Linked DNA regions of Xenopus tropicalis. The protein of the gene in region 1 binds, or shares a complex with, the protein of each later gene. Links are inferred from orthologs where the notes say so. Each region holds a gene or a part of one and is shown in the gene's direction. Other genes may lie near its edges.

Region 1 (3,500 bases):
GTACTGTTTTATAATTATAGAGAAAAATAATTTTATAAAATTAAATGGAGTCTATGGGAGATGGCCTTTCCATAATTCAGAACTTTCTGGATAACAGGTTTCCGGATAAGGGATCCCATACCTGTACATACAATAATAAAGAAATATTTTTTAACTTAAAATTTGGGGGTGATTAGATATTTTTTAGTTGTTTTTTGTCCCCATACAGGGTTCTACTTAGTGTTATGTATCTGATGGTTGAAAATATTCGTCAAGAATCAGAGAATGATGACCCAGAATGGAAAATTCTACGTGCTAATTTCCGTGAAGAACTTGGTGAGGAGAGACTGTATGGATACCACTAAAACAGGCTTCATCAGTGTTTTTGCTTAAAGTGGTGACATAATTGGTGGCTTAGGACAAATATTTCCCTTTCATTTAATCTGTTAAAGGAGAAGGAAAGGTAAAAACTAAGTAAGCTTTATCAGAAAGGTCTATGTAAATACAGCCATAAGCGCTCACAGAAACGCTGCACTGAGCCCACTGTTAAAAGAAACAGGATTTCTTCTCTCTTTGTTTTCCTGTGCCAGAGTCTGTGCAGCTCTCTCCAGCTCCCCCCTCCCTCAAGAATGCTAAGAACGCCCTCCCCCCCCTTAGGGCCATTCAGCAGGAAGCTTCCTCATAGTCTTACAAACTGCGCATGTACAGGGGTCTTGGTCTTGGTGCAGGAGCCTGGCATTATGGGAATTTTCTTTACAGAGCTCAGCATTTTTTTTTCCTATGAGGCTTCTGATCATCTGAACAGGAGAAATATGGGGAGACTTAAGGGCACCACTGAGAGAACTGAAGGTATGTCTGCATCTTGAGATTAACTCTTTATTAGCCTTTCCTTCTCCTTTAATGGCATTAATGACTGGATCAGTGTGACTTGGCTATTGATGATCATGCACTAAACAACCATCTGGAAACTGGTATGTTTTAATAGGTTTTAATTGGGCCCTACACTTTAAAAGAAAAGGAAAGCTTTATCAGAAAGGACTATGTAAATACAGCCATAAGCACCCACAGAAAAACTGCAGTCAAAAGAAACAGAGTTTTTCTTTTCTTCTTCTGTGTACACATGTCTTTTAGTGTTAGACTTCCTTCTCTCAGAAAAATTCTTCAGGTCACAGGCACGAGCCTGCTCAGGTTTCTCCTGTCTCCCTCTCTCCAGAGATGTATTTAGGTCCGGTGCCTAGGGCTTATGGTGATATAGGGGCATAAGAAAGCATATTAGCATTTTCTGTCCTGTTAGAGAAAACGCCACATGTGAAATAGCCCTAAATAATCAGATCAGATTGTTAAGGTTTAATGGCCTTTTATCACAACACAGAAATAGTTTAGCAATATTATCCTTCAAAAATAAAATAACATTTACTGTTTGCATGATTATTCTATCCTGTGTAGTGTCAAAATATTGGACCAAATACAATTTTATGTTCCTAATCAGTGGAGAATTGTGCTTAATGTTTTTTTATTGGTTCTTGATACAATTTCAAATATTTTTAAAATTAATATTATATATGATAGAAAATAGTATTTATGGAGCATTTCATAATACACGTTGTCTTTCTTTGTAGCCTTCCCTGTGCATCCTGAGGAGCCATTTGCTCATCTCCTCTTTGCAATGGTGACCAAATTCTGCAGTGGTCATTGTCCCCACTTTCCCATGAAAAAAGTTCTCTTGCTGCTCTGGAAAGTTCTGTTGGTATGGTCCCAAATAATTTATTTAAATGTATTAATGACGAAATCCTATGCTACATATATTATTTCTCAGTTCTCTCATCTCATAGAAAAAAGAGTGAACAGAGAAATATATTTCTATTTTAAATGTTATAATGTTAAATATTATAGAATTACGTAAAATAGCTATTCTTTCCTAGAGACACCTAAAAGCCCCGCTTAAAGGATTTGGGTACAAACACATTTGCTGTCCTACATATTCTAGGAATTGGTGAATGAATGATACATCAATATTTTCCCTTATCTGGGACCATGGCCTAGGTTTGAACCTTCAAGTGGGGCTTGAACTGAAACACTTTGACAACCATTGTATTAGAAAAACCTTGTAATTCAATTTCAGATTTCTTAACAAACTTCAGTGTTGGTTTTCTTATTGAGCTGAATCAAGCACTATCTCATAAAACCTAACATAATCTTAAATATTGCATAAGTGCAGTATCAGACATAGAAATTTGTTGCGTATGGGAAATCACCTGTGGAAGAAGGCATTTAAGAAGGCATTTTACATGTGGTAATTCTTATTCTTCTGGACTGAAAGCTAGTTTCAATCCTATTTTCATGGATTAGAAGGAGTGATCTCCCGTGGGTTACAAAGCACTATGTCTGACATTGCCCTTTAAATATTAGCAAGTACCAAACACTTAATATGGGAAAACAAAAACTATATATTAAATATGTTCATGTATGGGTATATATGGGATATATTTTGAATGTCAAATTTATGCATCCCAATAACTGGGATGGAATTCAAAATAGGTGGCATATCAGCAACAGAGAGACCCAAACAGCATCTTACATGTATCTTATGGCATCTTACAGCAGCCCCACTGCCCCCTGTATGTGCAAAAGTTTTGCTTTAGAACCGTGCTGCTTATGCCACCCTGCTAACATTTTATTCCAATTAAGTTTACATTAGGTGGTTTCCCTGAGCTTCAGAGCATGAAGGAGAAAAAAAGATCAGAACTTGGCTTGCCACCCTTACTGGAGGACAGCATACAGGTGATGAAGAACATGAAGGCTATCTCCCCTCCTACTTATGGCATTGAGCTAGGAGAGCAGCAGAAACGTGGGCGCAGAAGTCGCAGGGTTAGTCTTTTTTCCTTGATATGCTCATACATTTTTTTAAAGTGATTTCATATCTTCTTGGCAATATGTTCTGCTTCTGCAGCCTCAGAATATGCCATTATTCACTAATCAGGGCTGAGTGTTAGAAATATAACAGCCCATCAAGAACATAGGCTTAGCAACTACCTTAGTCATTTTAAACCCTCATGGACTTCAGTTGTGCAGTCTCAAACAGCTGATTGAACTTGGCTTTGCCAAATATACATTAGTTGTGCTAATTATACTATAAAATGTGATATTTTACCCTATTGGGTAGTTTAGTGCTCTGTTTTTTTTTTTTTCTGTCAACAACAAGGTTGTTTGAACATACCTGTAACACTTCAACAACCCAATGATCACTGCATATGATTCATGGAATAATTTTTTACCAGGTTTTTAAAACCCCTTGAATTAACCTCTTTCTAAGCCATTTATTGCCATTCACTTGATCTTATAAACTGGTTTCAATATTGTATTGTATCATGTATAATTACCATGTCAGATTATGGTTATTAGAGCTAATAGTGAAAATAAAGGGGCAAGTGCTATGGACTAGCATTTGTGACTATTGCCTTCTTACTGATTTTCCATTAATGTTTATAAATGTTCTGGCTTTGTCAGCCATTTATTTAAAC
Region 2 (3,500 bases), on another chromosome or scaffold:
AAGCTTGAATGAATCTGAAACTTTCGTCCTCGGCGCGACGGCTACGAAAAAGTCGCGACAATTCGCGCAAGTCGTAACGCTACGAAAAAGTCACGACAATTTACGAAAAAATCGCAAAATACCGATCCTTACGAAAAAACTGCATTGGGACGCTTTTTGGACTTTCGTGGATTAGTAAATGTGCCCCTAAAGGTGGCCATACACGTGGCGATCTGACGATGTTTCGTACGACCATCGGTCGCACGAAACATCGTAAGATCCGCCACACACCATTCAGGGCTGAATCGGCAGGTAAGGAGGTAGAAACAATAGGATTTCTACCTCCTTCTGCCGATTCAGCTCTGAAGGGAGAAATTTGGTCAGGCGCCTTCTACGGCGCCCGATCAAAATTTTCAAACTGGTCCGATCGGTGAGTTGTCCGATATCAGCAGCTTCCTGCGATATCGGTCGACTCGCCGACATGCCATACACGCACCGATTATCGGACGAAATGAGGTTTCGTACGATAATATCGGTGCGTGTATGGCCACCTTAAGGGCTCTGGCACACGGGGGAGATTAGTCGCCCGCGATAAAACTCCCTGTTCGCGGCGAGGCGATTTCCGGAAATCGCCGAAAAAGACTCGCCGCCGCCGCGTCTGCCATCCCGCCGGCGACTTACATGTTCGCCGGTGGGATGGCAGGGGTAGGCAACTCGGGGAGATTAGTCGCCCGCGAACAGGGAGTTAATCGCGGGCGACTAATCTCCCCCGTATGCCAGAGCCCTAAGTGTAGGGATGGGTTGTCGGCTTGTTCTTATCTGCAGGCTTACAGTCCGCCCTGTGTGACCTTTCCCTAAGATTGTCACACTTCCCCATTCAGCTGTGGGTTAGTATTCCAGATTAAAACCAACTTCTGTTTTGTGAATTATTCACCCCCCAATAATATCTCTACAGCCCCCCTTTTAATTACACTTTGTATTTGTGAACTGTATATATGAACTCCTGAACAGGGTAGTGCTTAAAGGTGATAGCACACATGGAGATTTGTCGTCTGTAGTTAAATCTTTGCTACCGCAGACGCCATGTCTACGATAAAAGACCTTCTATAGCATAACATTAAAGGGGACCTGTCACCCCAAGACATAACTCCAAATTATTTTTGTTACTTGAGCAAAATAAATGTTACTTATGCTATATAAATAATATAAATCTTGTTTCCTTCCGTCTTGGAATTACTCAATCAAAGCAAGCAGGTAGGCACGATTTTGTGGACACTGTTATGAAGGCAAACTTTGTATCATGTCAAAATCTTGTTTATGTGCCAGAATGGGGGACCTGATGCCCATGCCCATGCACTGGCTACACAATTAGATGAGGAGGAGGGAGGGGGAAAGTGAGATGTGCAGTGACATCTAGGAAGTGCTGAATGGAAAGCTAAAGTTATTGTCTGCCCCGCCTCTATGCCTAAGGCATAGAGGCGAGGCAAGCAATATATGATTGACAGCTGGGATTTTTGAATGCCTTTATAATGGGTTTGGATGTGTTAATATAAAAATGAATTTGGGTTTCATGTTTAATTTGAACAGGACTTTTATTATACAGCTTTTTATGTCTGGGTGACAGGTCCACTTTAAGATCATCGCACGTAAAACCTATTCCGCTCTGTGATCTGGAATAAATGTGGGAAAAAGCCAGGTTGCTGTGAGTAATTAGGTTTCACTTGCGGCGATCTAACAATGGGCGAGATCTTCTCGTGTGCCATCACCCTTAAGCACTACCCTAACAATCCCTCAGTAAGTTCCATCACCCTAACCAACATTTTCTCTTCCCTCCTGGCAGTTAGAACCTGGTCCTTTAGATGAAACACAGATTGCAACCATTTTACGGGAAATCTTAAAGGGACTTGACTACTTGCATTCAGAGAAGAAAATTCACAGGGATATTAAAGGTAGGTCATTCCTTTTTCGTTATTCTGTCTGTTGTTGGAACTCTGTCTTCATATTCCTCTTTGTATCAAAATAATAGAAGAATGGGGATTATATTCCTTCTGCAGGGTTTACCATTCCATGCAGGTGTTGCAAATGAAATATGGCCATACATGGGCTGACAAAAGCTGTTGACAGACAGAGTAGGCAGGCATTCAGCCCGTGTGGGTCCTTTTGAAGGGCCTGCCCAATCAAAAATCGGGTAGATGTTAATTGGGCAGGTTCGATTTTCCGTCAGGTTGAGGGTATCTGTTGGCATCTGGACTGCATAATGGCCATTATGATCTGGTCGATTGGCCCTCGGGATGGGCATACTGCGTCAGGGGAAAGAACCATTCATTTGGTGACCTGGCCAAATGAGTGAATCTTTTAACTTACTTGCTGATTCTGCCATATTAATAGAATTGCTTAGCAAATGAAATGGATAAATTGTCTTATGTTATATGGAGCCTGAACTGGGGATTCATTTGCATAGTATTTGAAGCACGTTTGAAAAGAGTTCAGTTGGTTTGATTGTTTATTTTGTATGTGTTTCGAATGATACAAGATTTTATTCTGCATAGATCCAGCTTGCAGCAAAAAATTTCTTTAATGGTTTTTATTTTTTTATTGCTTTTTTGTAGAACAAAAAAGTATTTAAAAAATCATAAATAATAAATAAATGAAGACAGTGCTGATGTTCACTTTTTACAAAGCCCCATCAGAGTGCTGGGAATGCAAAAGAAGAACTTTACCCATTATAATGAATTTTTTAAAATGCTTCCTTTATTAATTAAAATGAGGCGCTTACCCAGTTAGAGATCAGCGAGACCGCCAGAGGAAAAGAGAGAGCACAAAAGCTTTTCCTTGAGTGGTACTGCACATGCGCAAGCTCTCATCTTTCTTATGCAGATTAATCTGTTGGCTGCTGCAGCTAACAATAGGCCACACATGTACGGAAACGATTAACTTGCTTTTCAACTGAGAATACTCCTAACTCCCTGCTGCCAATGTTTGCGTGCAGGTGGTGGGTGAGAGGTTGGCGACCCCTTCATCCAGAGGGGCATCACATTGTTGATAAAATGGTAAAAACTATATAGAATAAAATTAATTTTTAAAAAAAAGAATTTTTTGTCTTGCATAGGTGTTTCAGAACCCTTTGAAATTCAGCCAGAAAGTCTGTTGGTCAGGATGTGTTTAAAGCTTAGGTTTTACATGCAGGTTTGTTGCAGCAACTTGGCCTTCTGCATAAACAAACTTTGCTGAGCATTATTATGCAGCTGCTACACTGACACAGTCTTGCTAGACCTTTAAGAATTTGTTCATATTGTGCACGGTTGATTTAAGAATTATGTACAGGACACTTACAGATCTATGAATATATAAATAAGCCTGAGTGTTTAACCCTAAATTTGTCCTGTTCTTTCATCATCAGAAATCATGGCAATCATAACTATACAAAGGAAGTGCCCAAAGCAGTGCAGCATTAACTCAGACGCATAAGTGTATTACACATTTCCGTATTGTTACCATAAATTGCAGTTGTGTTTGGCAGA
Region 3 (3,500 bases), on another chromosome or scaffold:
CTATTAATCCTTAGGGCCCCTAAACTTTGCAGAGTTAGTCACTAGTTAACTGCAGTTCCAGGTTAGAAAAAGGGGGTGGAGCTACCAACCGCCAATCAGATGTTGTTGACTTTCAGTACGGAAATTTAGGTTGCTGCCATTCAGACACTATTAAAACCAGGGTCCCCAAACTTTGCACAGTGGTTTTTACTGTATAACTGTGGTCCAAGGTTAGAGAAAGTGGGCGGAGCCCATTCAGTGACTTCATGTTTTTCAACCCAACATGAAGTTTGTTCTCAAACTTCCCTTTCTAGTTTGTAGGCTGTGTTTTTGCTTTACAGTGATAAGCTCCATTTAAATGGTTTTTACTTTCATTAAGAAGTATACTGAATATCCCCTTATGAGACAATCCACTTCTCACTTTCCCAAGTGACACTTGCATATACTTCTGTGGGAAATACAGTCCACATATTTCACTTGAGTCAGATTGCCTGCCCATGGAGCCAAATGGGTGTGTAAGTGCATCAATCCCTGGGGTCCATAACAGCAGTATTCTGCATTTTTACAGACGAAAAGAGCAAAAGACTTGGGGACTTAAAATCGTAGTTCACATTTAAGTTAACTTTTAGTGTCTTATTAAATTTCTTATTATTGGCAACTTTTGAATTGGTCTTCAATTTGTTTGTTTGGTTTTTTTTTTTTGGATTATTTTCCTCCTTTCTCTTGCAAGCTGTCTGATTGGGAGCATTGTCCCTGGCAGCCAAAAACCCATTGCCCTGTGAGGATTCAATTTATTGTTACTGTTTATTACTGATCTCTTTATTCATCTTCCAGTCTGTCATTTAAACCATTGCCTGGCTGCAGTAGTAAATTAAAGACTAGCTTCCATTTCTAAATGGTGCTGTTGTACAAAAAACTACTACTCGTTCCAGCAACAAACTTCAGCAGTAAATCCGCTGACTCTTCAAGTACAACAAAAATATATACTATTTTAAACCTTTAAAAACGTAAAAAAAAATGTGTACTAACTTGTACAATGCAATATACACTGTGTGTTTTTATGTATAGTTACATAGGGTTGGAAAAAGACCAGAGTCCATCAAGTACAACCCTTCCAAGTAAACCCAGCTCACACACACACACACACACACACACCTGTACTGACCTATTTATACACTCGTAAATAAACCATATATACAAACATCAATACTAACCGTAGATTTTAGTATCAAAATAGCCTTGGGTATTATACTTCTTCAAGAACTCATCCAGGCCCCTCTTTAAAGGCATTAACAGAATCTGCCATTACCACATCACTTGGACGGACATTCCCCCAACCTCACTGCCTTCACCATGAAAAACATCTACACTGCTTCAAATGAAAATCCCATTCCTCTAATCTAAAGGGGTGGCCTCTGGTGCGCTGATTGCTATTATGGCAAAAAAGAACACCCCCTATCTGCCAGTAATCATGTCCCTTTGCAAACAACCCCAACCTTAACAGTCTAACCTCATAGCTTAAATCTTTTATCCCCTTTACTAGTTTAGTTTCATGTCTCTGCATTCGCTCCAGCTCATTAATATCCTGGAGCCCAAAACTGCACTACATGCTCAAGGTAAGGTCTTACCAGATAGATGCCTATAAATAAGGCAAAATTATGTTTTCATCCTTTGAATCAATGCCCTTTTTTATGCAAGTATTTTATTTGCTTTAGTAGCCACAGAATGACACTACCTGGAATTAGACAACGTATTATCTACAAAAATTCCCAGATCCTTCTCAATTAAGGATACCCCCAACACACTACCATTTAGTGTATAACTAGCGTTTATATTATTTCTACCAAAGTGCATAAGATGCTGCCAAAATTCTTATTCACACTCTTATTATATCTCACCTGGACTACTGTAACGCTCTGCTAATTGGCCTTCACCTTCAGAGACTGTCCCCTCTCCAGTCCATAATGAATACTGCTGCCAGGCTCATACACCTATCCAAACATTTCTCCTCTGCCATACCACTGCCAATCCCTGCACTGGCTTCCCCTACCATCAAGGATAAAATTCAAACTAATGACTAGGACATTCAAAGCAGTTCATAACTCTGCCCCACCCTACATCTCTGAACTTATCTCTAGATAACAACCAACCTGTTTGTTACTCTCCTCTACTGACCTACTTCTCAACTCCTCCCTCACACTTGCATTTAAGACTTTGCAAGGGCTGCCCCCCTTCTCTGGAATTCGCTCCCACAAACTATCAGACTTACTCCCGATCTCTAAAAACGCATTTATTTAGTGAAGCTTACCCTCATTTAGTTTAACATAACCTCAGTGTGCTGCTACAAGCAACCTGTGCCACACCTCTCCCATTGCTTGATTCTGATCTTGCCCATTCCCACACCTTGTGTTTCAAACCTCTCTCCTTGTAGATTGTAAGCTCTTTTGGGCAGGGCCCTCTTCACCTCTTGTATCCGTTATTGGTTGCTTTATATTTTACTTTGTATGTCAAATGTATGAAACCTACTTATTGTACAGCGCTGCAGAATATGTTGGCGCTTAATAAGTCAATGTTGATATTAATAACTTTGCACACAATATGAACAGCATATGGAACAGGAGTTTGAAATCAGTAAATCACATTTATAAAGGCAGCTGTGCTGGCAAGACACATTGGCAAACCTTATGTACAGTTGCCAGTAAGCCCAATCAGCACTTTGATCCATACAGGCAGAATAATCGTCTCCTTACATTTCAGGTGTGTTGTGTGAATGTGATGGGGAAGCTACAGTGCAAGCTCCACTGAAGCTGAGACTAATTGAAATGATGACCTCTTCAACACTATTTTTATAAATTGAAATAGCCTCATATCATAAGCCAAAACTGGAAAAAAAAAAAAATCAATATAGCAGGGGTGCTGTTCTGGAACTTGTATCCTGGCCCAAGGTTGTAATATGCAGAACATATACACCTTATAATGATTAGCTGCAATTATTTTAATATCAGGGTAAGTTTAACAAACAAACAATATGCATCTTAAGTGTTTTTTATTTCTGCATTGTAATTTTCAACCTTTAGCTTCGTGTTGGTCCTTTTGATGAGTTCCAGATTGCTACCATGCTTAAAGAAATATTAAAAGGCCTTGACTATCTGCACTCTGAGAATAAAATTCACAGGGACATCAAAGGTATGGGAATGTTTGATTTTCCAGTCTGTTGGTTCCCGGTTGTTCCAGTCTGTTCTAAGTAGTGTATTCTATCTTCCAGCTGCCAATGTACTCCTGTCTGAGCAGGGGGATGTCAAGCTCGCAGACTTTGGTGTCGCAGGGCAGCTTACAGACACACAAATAAAAAGAAACACCTTTGTAGGGACACCATTTTGGATGGCTCCAGAGGTCATACAGCAGTCTGCTTATGATTCCAAGGTAAGCTTACTATAAACTTAGGACCAGCTAAAACATTTTCCAAAAATGACGTATTATGGTGTTGATGTTGCACATGATGTGGATTTCAAATTATTGGA
Region 4 (3,500 bases), on another chromosome or scaffold:
ACATGCACACTTAGCACACCCATGTAGCACTACACTAAGGCACACAGCAGATCATTCCTGTGGCATTCCATAAATGGGAATTCATGCAAATAGCTTTACAAGGTGCCTGCCTGTTTGTGTGGATTGTGGTGCTGCAGCCATCCTTGCTTTCTGACCACAAGTATTTGCACTCTTAGAGGCCTACAGCACGTGAGCTGCTGAAGCACCGCTTCATACTAAGATACACTAAGAAAACATCCTTCCTTGTAGAACTGGTAGAAAGACACAAGCGCTGGAAATCCCAGGGCCACCGAGAAGATTCTAGCTCAGATGAGTCTGACATGTAAGTATATTTATGGCATCTGTCTGAAGCAGAAAAGTCCTTTGGCATTATTTATGGAAACCATGCAGCCAAGACACTGGCGCCGAAACAGAAAGTAGGTAACTAGTCATTTACTGGTGGACAACATACAAGATTTCAGGGGCCTTACATGTTGGCCCTAACTACTCAAATCACTTTTTATATTATTACTTGAGCAGTACAATAGTTTTTCATAAAGGAAAGAACCCTTTATTTAACCCCCCCACCCCTTTTCCATTAACTTTTTTTTAGGTTATAAAAGCACACACCCTATCATTATACCTGTCCCTGTGCTTCCATTATTAAGTGCAGCTTTTTAAGGCAATGACACATGGAGTTACTTGTAGCTGGGTACAAGTACGGTACCTCCTTGTGTTGTAGCCCTTAGGGTGAAGAGACACAGAGTGTAGCAGCTACTAACAAGTAGTTACTATTGATAACTGTCTCTACGTGTGTTTTACCAAAGGCAATTCTAAGTATTGTCTATGGCAGGGTATTTCTGGCATTTAGTAGCTGTGACAAGTAGCTGCTACTAAGTAGCTCAGTGTGTCTTCACCCTTAGGGTAGGAACCCACAGAAGGAACAAGTTAGTCGCCCTCAATTGATTGCTGCTATCGTAAGCGAGTAACTGCTCTGAAAAGGCTTTCCAGTGGCAACAATAGATATTGCCGGTGTAAAGCCCTTTGCATCGCTTCTTTTTCCGTCACGCGAAGTTGCCTGCATGAGGAAACTTTGTGCGACTTCGGATTACCGAAGTGATGCAAAGGGCTTTCCACCAGCGACTTCTATTGTTGCCACTGGAAGCCCTTTTTGGATTTGGTTCTTACCCTTAGAAGCCGAGTGTAATGGACTGTAGGGTGGTTTGGTCACAGCAAATACAAATTGAAGCCTCATGCTGTAAGCAAAATGCAATTTCTGATAAGCGTGATACAAAAGACCAGTGTACTCAGTTACTGGATAGACTGTGTATAAAACCTTTTGATAAAGTGGGGCAAATAAACATCTGAAGAAAGATAAATGATATAAACCCAAATTAAAATCAATATTTACACAAACTTCCAAGCTATCATTATGTCATTTCTGCGTGGTGTTATTCTGTTTAGAGAACCTTTTAGTTCCAATTTCTGTACTGTAAATAAACTGTATCAGCCACAAGACTGGGGCAGGAATGACGCTGTTGCCTTTATCTGGGAATTGCTAGCTATAAGCACAAGGCTGATTCTCAGCATGATCCTGGTGCCTGCACCTGAGCTAATACATGTATTATTCTTATTGGCAAACACATGCTTTAGGGCTCTGGCACACGGGGAGATTAGTCGCCCGCGACAAATCTCCCTGTTCGCGGGCGACTAATCTCCCCGAAATGCCATCCCACCGGCGAAAATGTAAATCTCTGCCAGAGCCCTTATAGTGACTTGCTGAAGATTTCACTGGGATGCACAGTTGTGAGCACAGTATAAAGGGCTTGTGAAGCACGAAATGTAGTGTAACAAAGTGCACCTTCGCAGTTTAACCCTGCAGTGACCTGTCTCGCTACTACTACATTAAGCTAATGATTACTTACATGTTTGACAGAGCATGAGGGCATTGAATTGAGGACTGCCTGGTCTCAAGGTTCTGGCAAGCTACAATTACGCAGTTGTGAGCACAGTAATGGAGGCCCCACAATTTGCCAGTCTCATGTAAGCTGATAGTGTGCATAGAGGCTGCCTAATAGCCAATCTTAGCCCTTATTTGGCACCTCCATGAACTTTCATGATGCTTGTGTTGCTCTCCAACCTTTTTTACATTTGACTGTGGCTCACGAGTAAGAAAGGTTGGGGACCCCTGGCATAAAGGTGGCCCAAATATGGTTGATCCAATCACCCCCTTGGCTCATGACTGGTTCTCATGGGGTGTCAGAGACCTGCATCCATGGCCCAATTCAGTATTCTGCTGAAATTATTTTATAGCCTGCCTAAGACTGGTCAACATATTCCTAGACCTTCAGTGAGCCACGTGCATAAGGGTAGTATGCATTGCTGGATTTCTAATCCGGGCACCCAAGGCCGCCCCTGTTCGCCCCCCCCCGCAAGTGCACATGTGCAAACAGCAGCACCTCCCCCCGCAAGTGCACACGCTCACATGCACAGAAGTCTACACTTGCATACAGAGCAGTGGGAGAGCTCCTCATTGCTTCGTATGGTAGCAAAATTTCAAGATTTTGACGCAGCGGGGCGGAATGCTGCACTAGGCCCGGGCCTTTGTGGCCTCTCCACAAATCCGGGCCTGGTAGTATTTAAAACACTGATGAGAAACCAGGTTAGAAAGTTTAATTTGCTAGGCTGTTGGGCTTTCAGCTTCAGTCATATGTCTGTGTGTTTCAGGGACAATGAAGATGAGCGGAATCAGAACCAAATTCCCATCTGGTCATTTCCAGAAACCATCTGTGCCAAGTCCATGAGCCGAATGCAGTGGGGCTGTCAGAAGGTATCAGTGTAATGACATCCATATTAGAGGTGTCTGGTTGTGTTCAGCCACTTATAATTACTAGCAGCCACTTTCACTTTACTTCTGATACTCAGGAATGAGCATGGAGAGGGCACAGATATTCACTTGCTATACTCTGCCCTGTGTTTTATAAGCTACCTGCCTCATTTCCTTTTTACTGCTTGTGCACAGTTACTTCCTGCTGATCATGTGACTTAGCTTAAAAGAGGAGAAAACTATAGTTTATTGCAAATTGTATTGCTAAGGCTATGAGAGCTATACTAAACAGAGAGAAATATAATCTCGCAAGTATTCCATGTCTTTGCTTACACTTTTATTATGTTGGTTTGTCTGCAGTCAGCAGAAGTCATTCATCGCCTGCCACGGTCACACTGTCTATCAGCCTTAGTAACACCAGTTTTCCAAGAGGTGACTACTTTTTTAATATATTTTTTGTGTTTTCACAGTTTAGATTTGTGGGGAGAGGTGGAAGGGGGATAGGTTGGTTAAAGGGCATCCATCACCCCAACATTATTTCCCCCACCAGAGATGCAGAGTAATAGAGCCCGCACTCCGGTTAGAGTATTTTTAAAAAAATACCCCCTGCCAGTACTAGGCCGCCTGCATCAGGAGGGAGCTTCCGGTGGGAATGGCCATATTGTTTGGCACACACGTGCATAATGAGCGAATC

Evidence for each region. Proteins that work in one complex are often made in the same cells at the same time.
Region 2: strip2 (region 1) and stk24 share a complex: the UniProt entries of both Homo sapiens proteins name them as parts of the core of STRIPAK complex. The link is inferred for Xenopus tropicalis from reciprocal best matches to the Homo sapiens genes STRIP2 and STK24.
Region 3: strip2 (region 1) and stk26 share a complex: the UniProt entries of both Homo sapiens proteins name them as parts of the core of STRIPAK complex. The link is inferred for Xenopus tropicalis from reciprocal best matches to the Homo sapiens genes STRIP2 and STK26.
Region 4: strip2 (region 1) and stk25 share a complex: the UniProt entries of both Homo sapiens proteins name them as parts of the core of STRIPAK complex. The link is inferred for Xenopus tropicalis from reciprocal best matches to the Homo sapiens genes STRIP2 and STK25.

What each region holds. Positions count from the first base shown.
Region 1 is NC_030679.2:87,158,367-87,161,866, reverse strand, and holds part of strip2 (striatin-interacting protein 2), read left to right. Parts: intron 1-208; coding exon 209-315; intron 316-1,598; coding exon 1,599-1,726; intron 1,727-2,667; coding exon 2,668-2,847; intron 2,848-3,500. UniProt on the Homo sapiens protein: Plays a role in the regulation of cell morphology and cytoskeletal organization. Required in the control of cell shape. Calmodulin-binding scaffolding protein which is the center of the striatin-interacting phosphatase and kinase (STRIPAK) complexes.
Region 2 is NC_030678.2:121,393,328-121,396,827, forward strand, and holds part of stk24 (serine/threonine-protein kinase 24), read left to right. Parts: intron 1-1,819; coding exon 1,820-1,928; intron 1,929-3,500. UniProt on the Homo sapiens protein: Serine/threonine-protein kinase that acts on both serine and threonine residues and promotes apoptosis in response to stress stimuli and caspase activation.
Region 3 is NC_030684.2:67,443,749-67,447,248, forward strand, and holds part of stk26 (serine/threonine-protein kinase 26), read left to right. Parts: intron 1-3,056; coding exon 3,057-3,165; intron 3,166-3,244; coding exon 3,245-3,402; intron 3,403-3,500. UniProt on the Homo sapiens protein: Serine/threonine-protein kinase that acts as a mediator of cell growth. Modulates apoptosis. In association with STK24 negatively regulates Golgi reorientation in polarized cell migration upon RHO activation.
Region 4 is NC_030681.2:125,804,943-125,808,442, forward strand, and holds part of stk25 (serine/threonine-protein kinase 25), read left to right. Parts: intron 1-176; coding exon 177-322; intron 323-2,706; coding exon 2,707-2,809; intron 2,810-3,166; coding exon 3,167-3,238; intron 3,239-3,500. UniProt on the Homo sapiens protein: Oxidant stress-activated serine/threonine kinase that may play a role in the response to environmental stress.